2 linked regions of the Lepisosteus oculatus genome follow. The protein of the gene in region 2 interacts with the protein of the main gene of each other region in a biochemical or structural test. Links are inferred from orthologs where the notes say so. Each region holds a gene or a part of one and is shown on either strand. Other genes may lie near its edges.

The links.
Region 1: of the proteins of proline/serine-rich coiled-coil protein 1 (region 2) and asb7, one has a biochemical effect on the other in vitro, tested with the Homo sapiens proteins (2 studies listed by BioGRID, with this or other methods). The link is inferred for Lepisosteus oculatus from reciprocal best matches to the Homo sapiens genes PSRC1 and ASB7.

Annotation. Positions count from the first base shown.
Region 1 is NC_090700.1:41,751,321-41,758,742, reverse strand, and holds the start of asb7 (ankyrin repeat and SOCS box protein 7), read left to right. Parts: upstream 1-4,410; 5' UTR 4,411-4,663; intron 4,664-4,742; exon of another isoform or gene 4,743-4,840; intron 4,841-5,005; exon of another isoform or gene 5,006-5,317; intron 5,318-6,494; 5' UTR 6,495-6,597; intron 6,598-6,802; 5' UTR 6,803-6,851; coding exon 6,852-7,062; intron 7,063-7,422. UniProt on the Homo sapiens protein: Probable substrate-recognition component of a SCF-like ECS (Elongin-Cullin-SOCS-box protein) E3 ubiquitin-protein ligase complex which mediates the ubiquitination and subsequent proteasomal degradation of target proteins.
Region 2 is NC_090700.1:40,699,339-40,706,804, forward strand, and holds the start of proline/serine-rich coiled-coil protein 1, read right to left. Parts: upstream 3,009-7,466; 5' UTR 2,744-3,008; coding exon 2,698-2,743; exon of another isoform or gene 2,694-2,697; intron 2,551-2,693; exon of another isoform or gene 2,522-2,550; coding exon of another isoform or gene 2,503-2,521; intron 2,151-2,502; coding exon of another isoform or gene 2,126-2,150; coding exon 2,068-2,125; intron 1,518-2,067; coding exon 599-1,517; intron 398-598; coding exon 289-397; intron 1-288. Other genes in the region: ppil1 (peptidyl-prolyl cis-trans isomerase-like 1), read left to right, coding at 3,355-3,410, 3,763-3,917, 4,857-4,925, 5,220-5,440; slc6a11a (solute carrier family 6 member 11a), read left to right, coding at 6,806-7,001. UniProt on the Homo sapiens protein: Required for normal progression through mitosis. Required for normal congress of chromosomes at the metaphase plate, and for normal rate of chromosomal segregation during anaphase. Plays a role in the regulation of mitotic spindle dynamics.

The sequences.
Region 1 (7,422 bases), about 1.1 Mb from region 2:
AGCATAACCACTACAAAACGTCAGCTACTGTACAATGTCTCCTTCTAGAATGGTTAGCATTAAGACATTAGCAGGGTTTACCTTATCATCCTTATCAACCTTATCATCCAGGTGGATGCTGCACATTGGTGGTGGTGGAGGGGAGTCCCCATTACCTGTAAAGCACTTTGAGTGTAGTGCCCAGAAAAGCACTATATAAGTGTAAGCAATTATTATTATTATTATTATTTACATGTGTATTTATTATTTTTTAAAAACCTGTAGAAATTTGTGTGATCTGATAGTAACATTGATTGTATCTTCATATTTTGCACCACAGGAAAAAAAAATAGGGAAGCAAAACATTGTGAACTCTGAAACATAATCTGTCTGGATAAAAAATGATTTTTCTTAAAGGTTAAACACATAATAATAATAATAATAATAATAATAATAATAATAATAATAATAATAATAATAATAATAATAATAAACTTTATTTTATATAGCGCCTTTAAAGGTGGCTTCTCAAAGCGCTTTACAGGATGACAATAACAATAAATAAGAAGACTACAACAATAAATAAGAAAATTTCACAAGACAGGACACAATTATAATTACAGCAATACAACAATAACAATAGAGGAGACCGTGGAAGATGGTATTAAGAAGAGCAGAGGGGTGAAGAATGGAACCAGTTAAGTAAAGGCTTTTCTGAAAAGGAGGGTTTTGAGTCTGGATTTGAAGGAGTTTAGAGAAGGTGACTCTCTAATATCCTTGGGCAAGGAGTTCCAGAGCTTGGGGGCATAGCAGGAGAAGGCCCTGTCGCCCATACAATGTAGACGGGCTTGGGGGACAGTAAGGAGGGCAGAATTTGAAGAGCGGAGGTTGCGAGGTGGGGAGTAGGGCGATAAAAGTTCAGACAGGTATTGAGGTGCCAAGCCATGTAAAGCCTTGTAGGTGAGCATGAGGATTTTAAAGTCTACGCGGAATTTGACCGGAAGCCAGTGCAAGGACTCCAGGATAGGAGTAATGTGAACACTTGCACTAGATCTGGTCAGGATTCTGGCTGCTGAATTTTGGACATACTGCAGCTTGTTCAGAGTAGATTTAGATACCCCAGGGAGCAGAGCATTGCAGTAGTCAATTCGAGAGAATACAAATATGTTGATCAGCTTTTCAGCCACAGTTAATGATAGCATAGGGCGTAGTCTTGCGATATTTCTAAGATGAAAAAAAGTTTTGACAGTATGCTGTACATGTGGGTCGAATGTTAAGCCAGAATCGAATATAACCCCAAGGTTTTTCAATTTTGATTGAAGCTCAAGTACAGAGCCATCTACAGACAGGGTTGCAGGACTGGCTTTACGAAGTTGATGGGGGGTACCAATAAGCATGACTTCAGTCTTGTCACAGTTAAGATGAAGGAAGTTTTGAGTCATCCAAATTTTTATGTCAGAGATGCAATTAGATAGAATAGAGACAGCCACATCAGTGTCGGGTTTGGTATGGATGTATATTTGAGTATCGTCAGCGTAAAAATGAAAGCTGAGGCCATGTGATCTTAAAAGCTGACCAAGTGGGAACATGTAAATGCTGAAGAGCAAGGGGCCCAGTATTGAGCCCTGAGGGACACCAGACTTGACAAGACCAATTTCAGACCTGTACCCATTGAGAGAGACAAAGTGACAGCGATCAGTGAGGTAAGACTTAAACCATTTGAGGGCAGTGTCAGAGACTCCAAACACAGTCTCACATGCCATATATCTATTGCTCATAGACCAAATGTACAATTTCCTAACATGGCAGATGCCTGAAGATTTTTCTTTTTTGATTTTGATCTATTGTACATGTGATTTGTGACAACATTCTTACCTGCACTCAGAATCTATCAAGAGGGTTGGTTAAAATCTGGAAAGGTGGAACAATGAAATGCCGTGGCAGTAACTGAACAGATTTTAGTAATTTTCTATATTATTATTATAACATATTAATCATATTAACATATGTGGTTCTTGTCCTGCAGCACAATTACGGGGGAAAGTAATCAGCATACTGTTTACTGAAGGTATTAGGGTTCAGAGGCCTTTGCCCAATCTTTAAAGATCTTTGCCCAAGAACCGTTTCACTTTTTCCTGACTGGTACAGGTGTCTTAGATTAAAATACTAATTTTGTATCGGACTCAACTCCAAGGAAAAGGAATCGCCTCTCAAGTGTCCACCCCTTTTCATTACTTTACTGTAAAAAAGAGTTCAGATGGCCTTTTATTGGTGGCAACATCAACACCATAAATTGTAACAGGCTGGGAAAATTAGTGACGATAACAATACAATTATTGTAGCACATCACATAAGCCTAAATGTTTTCTACAAACTAAGGTTTGTAAAAAAGCCTAAGAGCATTTTGGAGTGTGAATTTCAATTATTCCCATTTAAGAGATTCTTTGTTGGAGATGTTTGTTTTATTGTTGTATTGATTTGTTGGACATACATTAATACATTTCTCCAAGGTGATAATAATGTTTGAATTTAATTTATGGTAACCGAGAGTTGTTTTAAAGTACTGTATGTACAGTATTGACCAGAAATGAAGAGACAATAGTATTACACTGTTCTCCGAAGATGCCTTTTGTAACAGAGTAAACCTCTTTTCAAATCGAAAGAAAACGGCCCTGCGACTTCTTGCATACAGTACCTACACAGTTATTCTGATTAACGTAATCGTGTACTGCAAACGTTGCTAAACGTGCTGAAATTCAAAAGTACATGAAAGCTACTAACATGTCAAGTTTACAGATAATACCAATATAGGTGGATTATCAAACACAAAATTAAATTAAAAAAGATCTTGATAAGATTCGTGACTTGGAAAACAGCGGGTATACAGTATGTGGTAGACGATGCATAATGTAAACAAGTGCAGCTGGTAAAACTGAGCTATAAATACAAAATGGAAAACGCAGAGTTAGAAGAACTTATGAAAAAAAATCGATTGCTTCATCATTTACATTTTCAACGCGGATAAGGAATTAAAGAGGCACACGAAACGTTACAATATACATCATAAGAATTGGGACCGTGAAGTAAAAATGGCTATTCTTGCTGTATACTCAAGCAGTTTAGATTTAAAGATGAATAAAAGACAAAAGTCAATAATATCTTTTTTTTATTTCTGGGTATTTCTACTAATATATGCTTTAAAGTTTTAGACCACTTTTATTAGTAGTGTCCCACCCCCGCCTGGGGTAGGTGAGCTATTGGGTACACATTAACTTGAAGTAAAATTATATAAGTATTTGGTTGCAAATACTAATTGTTTTTTAAGCAAACACTGTATAAAAAGTATAAAATTAGACGAGAAGTGTTATTATTTAAAATACTAAAACCTGTTCAGTTTTCTTTAGCGTTCCGTCGTTCCGGGTTTTACCCAGTCTATGGGAGAGCTTCGACAGGGATCCCGCAGAAGGTGAAAAAGTCTGTTTCGAACTTTGCAGGTTGACAAACTGAAACAAAGTCACTTATTTATCTGAAATGTTTATTTTCAAATATGTCAATTTATCCATTGTATCCTGACCCCAAAACAGAAATTTAAGAAATCGTAAAGTTTTCTGAAACTGAAAAATGTTTGATTTTCAATTATTTTCCTAACCAGAATTAAAATAATTATTAAAATCTTAAATTGAGAATTTTAATTATTGATTATTTAGCATGCATTATTGGTACCCTCAAATAGGTGTACAAAGAAATACAAATGCACTCCGGTCTCCAGTACATCGCATATCACCTCATAATGGCAAGACGGATTACTGTATATCTGCCTAAAGGAAAAAATAAATACATCGTGGAGTGTTGCAAGGAACGAAAACGAATTGATTTTTTTATTGATACTAGTTAAAATGGATTCCAGTGTGAAAATAGGAACGTGTACGAGAATCTACTTGTTAATTCAGCCAACACACAGCGGCGGATCGGTGAAGAAAGTCAATGGAGATACTGGATCCTAAAGTGCTTAAAGAGCGCCAACATTGCTGATAGTCTGTATACTAAGAAAAGTATTAAATATATATTTTAACTATTTACAATATACTACTGCCGTTATATAGCTTAGCATATTATTGTTATACAATACTGCATTATTGATAACATTTAGTTTAGGTTACCAAATAACGACACGTTGTAAAACGTCAGATATTTCCTGATAAGAGAAAATAAAAAAAATCTTGTAATCTTTTAAAAATCGTTAAGTATAACACAAACTCCCAGTGGGGTGTTCGTTTAGGCAGCAATGAAAAGCAAGTTTCCCCTCTGTTCTTTTATCTCTTTTAATGTCCGCAAATGAACTAGACCTATTGTCGCGACGTCGCTGGCGGTCACCTGTTTTTGCAGCAGTTTGTCCAACTAATTTACGGCAGCTCGAAAACTGATGTTTCTTGATGCTGATTGGTTATCATGCGATGGTTCCTTCCCAGTAACCCTTCTGAATTGGGTTGGTTCAGTAAAGTCAATATAAATTGAATCAATTATTCATTTTTATTTTTAAAAAACAATCTATTGTATCAATTGTGTCGAAGAAAACAGCAACCACAACGTTATAGAGCCGGCGTTTTGAAATATGGGCGCCGGTGCTTTATTTCGATTGTTCGAAACACCAGGGGAAAAACTCTAAAATACAGTCCTGTGGAAGGTAAAGTCTAATTCTGCTTCAGTAATCAATTTATCCTTTTTCGTAGCACAATTTCAAGTTTAGTATTTTACACACTTACCAGTTAAATCCGGATTATCGAATGGTGAGGAGATTAAAACAAAACAAAAATAAAACTGCTCAATTTGAACGGAAGTCTGAAAAGGGGAGACCTGGAAGGTAACACTCTATTGTTTGTATAATAATGGTCCTCTTCACTTCAGAACTCTTGTATTGTTATTTTACAAATTTGAAGTTATATAATTGCAGCTCTATGACATCAGGGGCTATCCTTTGAGTGACTCGGATACAATATTGACATTTTATTTGCAAAACAATGTGACAAGTGCAGTAGGAGCACAGGTCTGCATATAGTGTATAGCGCACACAATATTGTAATGCTCTAGGTTTGGGTTTGGCTATTACGCATTTAAACTGAACAACATCCTAACGAAACAGTATTACTATTAGACACGGTGCTCCTAAAAGTTATGTTTAAAGACTAAATCAGGTGTAAGTTTGCGCTTTTTCGATAATTGTATATGCCTCTCTGATATTGGTGGTAGTCCCTTTTGACGAGGCAAAGGTAGAGACAGTGTTTACAGCTTCACCGGCTTTTTAGTTGACTGTTGCATTGAGTACTTAAACACATCAATGGTAAGTATTTTAGCATCAGCTATAGAACTATTTGGAAATAATTGATGTTGAGTTATTGTACTGTATACCATAACTTGGACTTGAAACCATGAACTTTAAAGGAAAAAGTACATACTCTGTAAACAAAGTAATTATACATACTGTAGAACCATTTGTTCTACATTCTAAATTCTTTTGAGTATCTATCTAGAAATCAAGTATTTGTATGTCCCATACTACCACAAATAAAAAGGTGTTAACTGATTAAATTAAAATTTCAGTCAAGAATGCAAATTTATGGACAACTTGTAATGGTTTCTGGCTTATTTCTTAATTGAGAATTGTTTTACTGTGGCAAAATATTCTTAAACAGTAACCATAGCCAGCATAATAATCTCTCCTAAAAGAAAATGCTAGTGGTGTTTCATTAATAATTTATTTGCAAGAATTAAGTGGTAAGTGGACCAGACCCATATTGTTGTAATTCCGCTGATTGCCAATATATAGTACAAAGGTAGCAGACAAAAAACGAAGAAAAAAAAACAAAAACATGTGTAGTTGTTTAATAGGACATTGGGCCACCATGTGTAGCCAGTATGGCCTGTATGTGCTGTGTTGTAGAGTTTTCCAGTGTCTTTCCTATTTTGCCTCCCACTTCAAATTAATGCACAGATACAACAATCCTGGGCTATGCGCTTCCTTCTACTTGTGCCCTTTGCAGTAACTATCTTGCTCGGAGATTTCCATACTGACATCTCTGTAGAGAGTTGCTCCTAAAACATCAGTAAATTGAGCTGCCTTGGTGTCTGAAAATCCTACAAAATGCATCTCAACTTTTAAAGCAAGAGGTCAATTCTTAACCATAATTATAGGCAGCCAAGGTCTGGACAGCCCTTGTGTACCTGGCCTTAAGGATGCTGGGATGTTATTTACACATGTGGAAGCTTTAACTTTCAATTTACTTGGTGTTCAACATATCCCCAGTTGTTGCCATTGTTTGTACCTTATGCTCTGAACTTTAGAGATTTACAACACTTTTGAAAAGTGAGGATAATGTGAGATATCAGACATGTTATTTTTTATTTGAAAGAAGTTATTTTTTATGGAGCATTCTCAGTATGAAGTTGGTAATAAAGGATATATTTTTCCCTTGTCTATGAACTCTTATTGACATTATGCATTGTGGTCTTTTTTTTAGATATGTGTGTCAATTGTCTTGAATGATGATCACCTCTGGAAGATGCATTAGTATGTTTAAAGGGCTAAAAAACTGTGTTGCACATCAAGAGCTTTGAAACAAGGTAATATGATCAAATTTTTAATTACAGAAAAAGTGGTTAAAGACTAAGGTTTGATGTCAGAATTGCACACTGAATACTAGTGTAGTTTGACCTAGGTAGCATGTGATGTGTTGTATACTACATTAATAATATTGTAGACTGCATTTATGGATGTTTTGTCCATAAATGTGAATTATGCACTTAGTAATGATGTTTCTTGTTTTAGACAAAAATCTGAAAGTCCTGATGAATCCCTTGTAACGAGATGTAACAGGATGCTTCATCACCACTGTCGAAGGAACCCTGAACTGCAAGAAGAGCTGCAGATTCAAACTGCAGTTGCAGCAGGAGATGTCCATACGGTGCGCAAAATGCTGGAGCAGGGCTACTCTCCAAATGGCCGTGATGCCAATGGCTGGACCCTGCTTCACTTTTCAGCAGCAAGAGGGAAGGAGAGATGTGTCCGAGTGTTCCTGGAACATGGAGGTGGGAAATGTGGGAAAATTTACCTAATTTTTTAATTTGACTCTGAATAAGTCAGGTGAATAGAGTTGAGAATAGTTTAGGTCATATCAATAGATAATCTTATTTGAAGAGAATCTGAGTTAATGTTAACATCACTAGGTGTTCGTACTGGTATTGTCTGATAGTCTCAGAACAAAATATCTGAAATAGTGTTTGCAACAGTGAATCAAATGTTGCAAAAATAACCATGTGTGAGAGTTTTCCTTACCATTAATCTCAATGCATTTTCCAAGCAGAATTACTCAGTAATCATAAACATTTTTAGGAAGAATATATAGTGAATACTTACAGATATTGATATTAAATGCAGATGATGGTGAA
Region 2 (7,466 bases):
GGCAAGAGCAACATTAGCAAAACATTCAAAGTGAAGAACAGGCTGACCTTGCAAATCTAAAATATCAGCTGCTCTCAGAGTCCCTGTATGCCAGCATGCTCCAGCTCTGGTGCTGCGGAGCCCGTGCAGTAAGACCTAGTGGTTCTGCAGTATTTGAAACTTTGTGGTTTGTAACATATGGAACTTTTTTCATTTTTAAAAAAAGAAAAGGTGGTGTGCTTCCTCCAATAAACAGCTGTGTCCTTGAAACACAAGACTGCAAGCAATGAAAGGGTTAGATGTTACTACCTGAGGGTGTGATTCTCTCTGTGCCGACAGCCACTCCAGGCACCAAAACGGCCTTCTGGGAAGGGGAGCCTACACCCTTTGAATCTGCCACTGAGCGTTTCAGTCTTTCCTGCAGTAAATGGGGAAAAAGGCTTAAAACGTGCTATGAAGTGTTGTTTTCACTTTGCTATGGCTTACACAAAATTTAATTCCATATCTCTATATTAAGATTACAAAACTACCAATGATATGATAATCATATTATCAGTCTGTTTAGCAGTCGGAGTGTTACTGGTGTGCAGGGAAGCCCGGGGCACGTGCAGGACCATACCTGGCGAGCTGGCGGCAGGTGGCCACGGTGAGGCAGGGAGTGGGAGGGCGTGCTGGACTTTGTTTTTCTCCCAGGCGAAGGTTTGGCAGATGAAGGGCAGCTCACACTGGACTTGCTCAGGGAGTTCTTACTGTCCTGGGCCAAGGGCGAGGGCACCGTCTGCCTGGCAGTCTTGCTATCTGCCGCTTTGCCCGTCCTCGAGGGCGTGCCGGACTGAGGAAGCGGTTTGTCCCCCGCAGGGAGCCTGATGAATGCGGGTGAGCGGGTGCTGTGCCTCTTTGCCTGCCGTGTTGGGGACGGGACGCTGGGACTGGTGGGCTGCAGGCTGCAGGAGGATGAAGAGACGCTCATGGCAGGAGACCCCCCCTCACAGCGTGGCAGGACCCCAGGCCCTGGGGAGGCCACAGTCTGAGCTGGCGCTGTCCTGGCTGCTCTGCCGGGAGTCCGCCTACTCCTCCGCTTCGCAGCCGGGCTCTTCCCTTCAGCATCCGGGCGCGGTGATGGACACCCACTCTCGGGCACGACGGAGGGAAGGAGGGACTTCACTGGGCTGTCCTTCACGATATAGGTCTCCCTGCGCGGGCTCCGGCGCGGTTCCTGCCTGTCTCTCAGCGCCCGCACGCGGGGCGACTCCTGGCACCCGTCCCCGGCGTTCTCCTTCAGCACGGTTCTCTCCAGCTGGCTGGCCAGGCGGTTGGCCTCGCGGGAGATCTCCTCCAGTTTCTCCGCACTCAGCGGGCTCCAGTTCAGCAGCCCCCCATCGCCTCCCGCCTTGCTCCCCCAGCCCCCCACTCTCTGGCTCTCCCTTGCCCCCTGAACGTTGAGGTCAATGCTCTTGGCAACACATCTCTCAACGTGCCGTACAGGGCCCACAAAAACCTCCTCTTCCTCGGCCATGATGGAGTCGCAGAGCTCCCGACTGCAAGGGCACACAGACAGCACGTGAGCACAGTCCCATGGCACAACTGCTCCAATCAAGACCGGCGAACTGCACTGCCAAAATATAACTACCGCTTCTTAATAGTGCAGACACCCTCCTCACGTTTGCACAAAGAAGCACTAGACTTCACAAGTGAGTGTAATTAATGTGCAGTAAGCAGACTGCAGAGAAGATGGAGATATATACTCGCATACTGAAAAAGGAAATATAGTACATACTGTATACAGCCAACATGGTGGACATGTCTTTTTCAGTCAACACGTGCAGACTGACATGCAGCTATGCTACTAAATATGTAGTTACTGTATCTGGCCCTCTCCACAGCCTTAGTGCCTGGAAAAGCTGGGGTGGAGCAGACTTCTGTGCACTCTGAGGTAGACTACATCATCCCAGCACGTACAGCAAGCGCCTGGTCAAGCCAGGTCACCAGAGCTCAAACACGCAGCCGTCTGCGAGCACTGCCTGCCCGTAAGAGCCTGGCAGTGCTCTTTAGAAACGTGTGAAGTTTTAAAACCAGGACAACCAGTACCTGTCTGAAGGCGAGTCTATGCCGAAGTCGAACGTCTCTTCCGTTATAAAACAAACATCTGAAAGACAAGCAACATCGTCCATTTTACGACCAATTTAATCATTTGGGTTTTACATGTTTTGTAAAAACATGTAAAACCCAAATGATTGGGTGATTAGTTTCAAAGCAATAGAAAGTCACCTTACAATTAATAATTGTAATAATGAACAATATTATTATACGTAGTTTCGTTAATGCTTCTATATATGAAGGTTTGCATTTATATGTAATCAGTATTTTATTTAATAGGTTATCGAGTCATAAATTAAGTAATTTAGTCAAACGTATGAATTATCCAGACTTTCATGAAATTTTCGTGTTTAAAGTGAAATATGTTTGTAAAAGGAAAAGCTTTAGAAAAGACAGTTCCATAAAATATACTTAATACGATGATACCTTCACCTGTATGATCCATCCTACCGAGCAATTAATCGGTATGTGAACCTATAAAAACAAAACAATACAATTCGGTTAACTTCATTAACTACCTTATTAATTTCCACATAACCAAAGCTAAAGACAATCCGATCGAAATGAACTTCATTTAAACGAAAACATTTGGGTATTTAATATGGAATTATTATTACCTACGTGCTGATATTTGATTATTTTCCCCTCTGTTGTGACCCTTCTTCATCTACTAATGCCCAGTCTGTCACCAGCACCACACAATTAATAAACAAAGTCGGCCACAATGACATGTACAACACAGCTACACCTGCTTTAACATCAGATAAAGCGAATAAGTAATCCAGCAGCCGTAATAAACTATTTAAAAAACGCGCACGTTTTCAAATAAGATTATTTTTTAAAAGGTAAAGAAATTTAAAATATAACAGTCCGTTCTAGCTCGTGCTGTCGTTTTGTTTCTCTTGACGTTTGAATTTTGTAACTCTGTTTCCTGATTGGACGAGGGCAGTAGTGACGCCACACTCCCAACGGCTGGCAACTCCTGTAGCTGCCAAGAGGTATTGCTGAAAATCTAAAATGAAATGCCAATCAGAAATGCGATATATCTGCCAGTACACAAAGTATCGATACAATCTATTAAAAACGTTGTCTTTTGGGGCTTATACACTGTTTTCGGCTTGTATCAGAAACTACCGGAACTTGTTGGCTGCGATTTGTGTTGTTTCCATTCGGACAGGGTTTCAGTCGGACCCCCGAGACAGGAAGTGTGGGAAGTTTGTGTTCGAATGAGTTTGTCTTTACTCTTGTGTTCTTCTACAACGCTCTCCTGAAAGAAGGATGTCAGGTATTCCGCCAGATTCGTGGCAGCCCCCGACAGTCTGCCTGGAGACAACGTAGGTGTTGCAGGAGATAGAATAATTCTAATCCTGTTGTCGCTGAAATTTAAATGGATTCTATCATGGACTACTACATGCCTGATTTGGTTAAAAAGTGGCACTGTCTGTTTGCGCTATATGAACGGGCTACCAATAATCTATAACTGTCAGTTTATAGTCTCTTATTAAAATTGGATGACCATCCATGCTAAAATACATATTTTCTTATTATCATTAAATATTGCAGTATTAATAAAAAAAACATACTGGGGGAGACTTAATGGCATAGGCTCGCATGATTGAGCGATTTTGGTATCGGAAAGGCGCGGTGTAGGTTTGCTGTAGTCCGTATCACGTTGTTTTCCTGCAGAATGGGGACGATCGTGGTGGAGCTGTACTGGAAACACGCCCCCAAAACCTGTAAGAACTTCGCTGAGCTGGCTCGGAGGGGCTACTACAACGGTACCAAGTTTCACCGGATCATCAAAGACTTTATGATCCAGGGCGGAGACCCGACTGGTACAGGCGAGTGTGTACGGACTCCCCGATACGGTCTACAGAGAGGCGCTGGGAGAGGTTGGGTGGGGTCTGGACCAGTGCTCTTTACGGACACCCGCAGCCCAGCTGGAACGTCCACTTCTAAAGAGCTAAGGCTCTGAGACTAGTTGCCATAAACTTCGTTAAATTTCTCCATAGTTCCCCCTGACGTGTTTCTTGAGTTTAAGTGTGTTGAACAGGGCGACAAAACATATTCAGTATTCTCTGTGTTGCAAAGATTAACATAACTGGAGGTTTTACAGATGCCAACTATCTTAGTTAACTTTAAGAAGTGCAAGATAGTGATCATTAGAAAGGTGTCCTGTGAAATCACTTGCATGGTATCACTTGAAATCACGTGATACCATGCAAAAAAGCAATTGATTGACCAAAGTTATGAAAAGCTCAGGCAGAATAGAAGCAAGTTTCCAGTAAGTGTGAGTTTTGAGGGTGAGTTTCCCGGCTCTACTGTTTCTCAGTGTAAAGGGTTATCAGAGATCCAGTAAAGCAGGAGACTCTTCCTAATAGGTTTATACTGTGTAAGAATATTGTTTTGAAAACTGTTTAGTTGCGGTAGTACCAGTTATTTCTGTACCAATTTTTTGTTAAGTAAAAAGACAAATAAAAATTGTCATCTTTATGTAAGGTAATAGTGAAACTACAGTATAGGACCTTCCATAAACATGGAACAAATTTGAGTAAGTAGCCAGATGGAAAATTATATATAAAAATAAGATACTAAAGTCCCCAAAATTTATTCTGAACCTTAATAAACTATTCTAAAGGCTTATTGTACAAACATAGTGTTGTCTCATCAAATGCCCAATGAGAATCCTGTCAGGGTTTATAGCTCTGAGCAGCATACCCCTGGGGCTGTAGCTCTGACATGGCTCTTTTCTCATGATAACTGTGCATTACCCATTACAGGGCGAGGAGGAGCCTCCATTTATGGCAAACAGTTTGAAGATGAACTGCATCCTGAATTGAAATTCACAGGTAATTTAATTCCTCTGTCAAATTATTTTATTTGTCTTGTATTGACCAACTGAAATTTGATTGTGATATACATGAAGGCATTATCATCAGTCTAATTCCAATAAACATGTGGGTTGAGAAGCACATTTATCTTGCTACTACATGCTTTTACTTTTTCAAAAGGAAGTGTATATTGGTATCTTTCCCATTTGTTTGGGGGCAGAGGAAGCTTTGTTTTTCTCAGTATAACACCGAATCTGAAAAGATGACATAATGGCAATCCGACAGAAATTCCTTGATTTTGTATGGATTTAGGAGCTGGGATTTTGGCGATGGCAAACGCCGGGCCGGACACCAACGGGAGCCAGTTCTTCCTGACGCTGGCACCAACACAGTGGCTGGATGGGAAGCACAGCATCTTCGGGCGCGTGTGCCAGGGCATCTCCGTCGTCAGCCGCGTCGGCATGGTGGAGACCAACACGCAGGACAGACCGGTGGACGACATCAAAATCTTAAAGACCTCCCTGCCAAGCTGAGACGCGCACACTCTGCACGGCCGATAGTCTGCCTGTTATTCAGAAGAGCTGCTTCTTCAAGGTGCCATCAGCAGGGAGGGGTCCCCAATACTCCTTCGCAATCTCAGCGTTCCTACTGAGTGTGGAGTCGTGCGCCGTCTAGTGGAATATGACTTTTCTGAATCTTGAATTATTTTGAATCTCAATCACAAATTGAAATAAATATTTTGCAGTTTTTTTAAAACATTGTGTGATTGTTTTTTTCTAACTCAGTACAGCGTGCAAAAAACCAATAGCATGAAAGAAATTAACTTGTTTGTTTAGGCTCCTAGAAACTCTGGAATGCCTCAGTGAATGCAGCAAGCCTGCATTGCCACCTGGGGGAGGGAGATGCCTACTCACCTGTCCTGGGAAATGCTCTTGAGAGCTGAGTCAGTGTTTGCAAAAACAGAAAAGGCCAAAAACTATTCCGACGGCTGGCAAAGCAATTCCATCACGCCAGTTCCTGAGTCCCTGCTAGAACCATGTCATCAACATAGTGAGCACAAGACTCAGGTTGTCAGTTAAGAGGGCCAGTCACCTGAATGCAGTGAAAAGGGATTCTTGCACTCTTATCTCTAAAGGCAAATTTGTAACTGGGCTGTGATCTAGCCTTGCTTGAGTCACAGTTACAGCAGTTTGGGTGTTTCGGTCCTCGGAGACAAGCGCAGCTGCCAATCCTGCTGAAGTGTCCAACGGCACAAGGAGAAGGTAATGACTGGGATTCAGTGCACTGACGACACCAGCCGGTATCGGGGAAATGTCTCGACTCCGTGGTTGTCTGTGAGGCTACCAGAACAGGCAATGGAAGCACCTCAGTGGTTTCAGTTTTCCTTTTTATCACTGCATATTTCCATAGCAAGCCAGTACTTCTGTTAATATATTTAGAATGGTATTGATATTCAGCTCCTGATGTTTTTAAAGTGTAGCTCACAATACTTGTATCAGTTTTTCCTTTACCCCTGGCTTTGAATGCACTGTCGAAGCAGGGTCACTGCTTTGTGGTGCACTGCCCTTACCCTGTGAACCAGCCCTCTGGCACAGCTCTGCAGGGTACAGACTCAAATCTGGCTAGAATGTTGCCAGGCTCAGTCGGAGACTGCAATCTCTAACATTCGTATAAAAGTACTAAAAAAACACATGCATGGAACAAATGACTGCTGTCCTACAGATTTTCACCAAATGCCTTAGTTTCTGGCCTCTGTAGGTCACAGTTCACCTGGAGCGAAAGGCTCCGATTGGGAATTGGTGAGAGGCGGAGCGAGTGGAGTTCTGCGTGTGTTCCTCCCAGACTCCAGCGGACAGCTCACTCGCTTCATTGTATGAGCTGCTCTGGCTGTGGTTGGGATGGCCGGGGATCTTCAGACAGGAGCCCTGTGTGAGCCCCCAGTCCAGGGGAGCAGACTGAAGCAGAAGGGACAGAAGATCCAGGAGAGGGGCCAGTGGGCAAACAAGTGGGAGTTCATCTTGGCTGTTGCTGGATCCATTGTTGGGCTGGCAAACATGTGGAGGTTCCCCTACCTGTGCTACAAAAACGGAGGAGGTGAATTATACTGTCTTATTTCTTAGCTATCCATGTGAATATGTACATTTTTAAATTAGATTATGTAGGGCATCCTGTTTTTTAAATCTGCTGTATTTTCCAAACACTCATTCCCCTTCATTGCCATGGAAAACTGGCCTGTATTTTGCACCAGAACTGCATATGCAGAGAATCTGTCCAAAGTAACAACTGGAGCAGTGTGACAGGGGTATTAATGTGTAAACTGCTGCACTATCTGCTTGGCGTGGCTGTGTTTGTCTGTATGATAAACATTTGAACTCTGAGAGCATATTGGATCTGGGGACACAGGGGTGAAGGTATCTCCCTCAGAGAATTAGGAAACCAGCTCCTTTACCACTTGTTGAAAAGTCTAGTTTTCATATTACTCAAACAAAACATACAAACAATATGTAACAATAAAAAATGTCTTGAAATTTTTAATTGCATTTCATTTGTCATTTATGG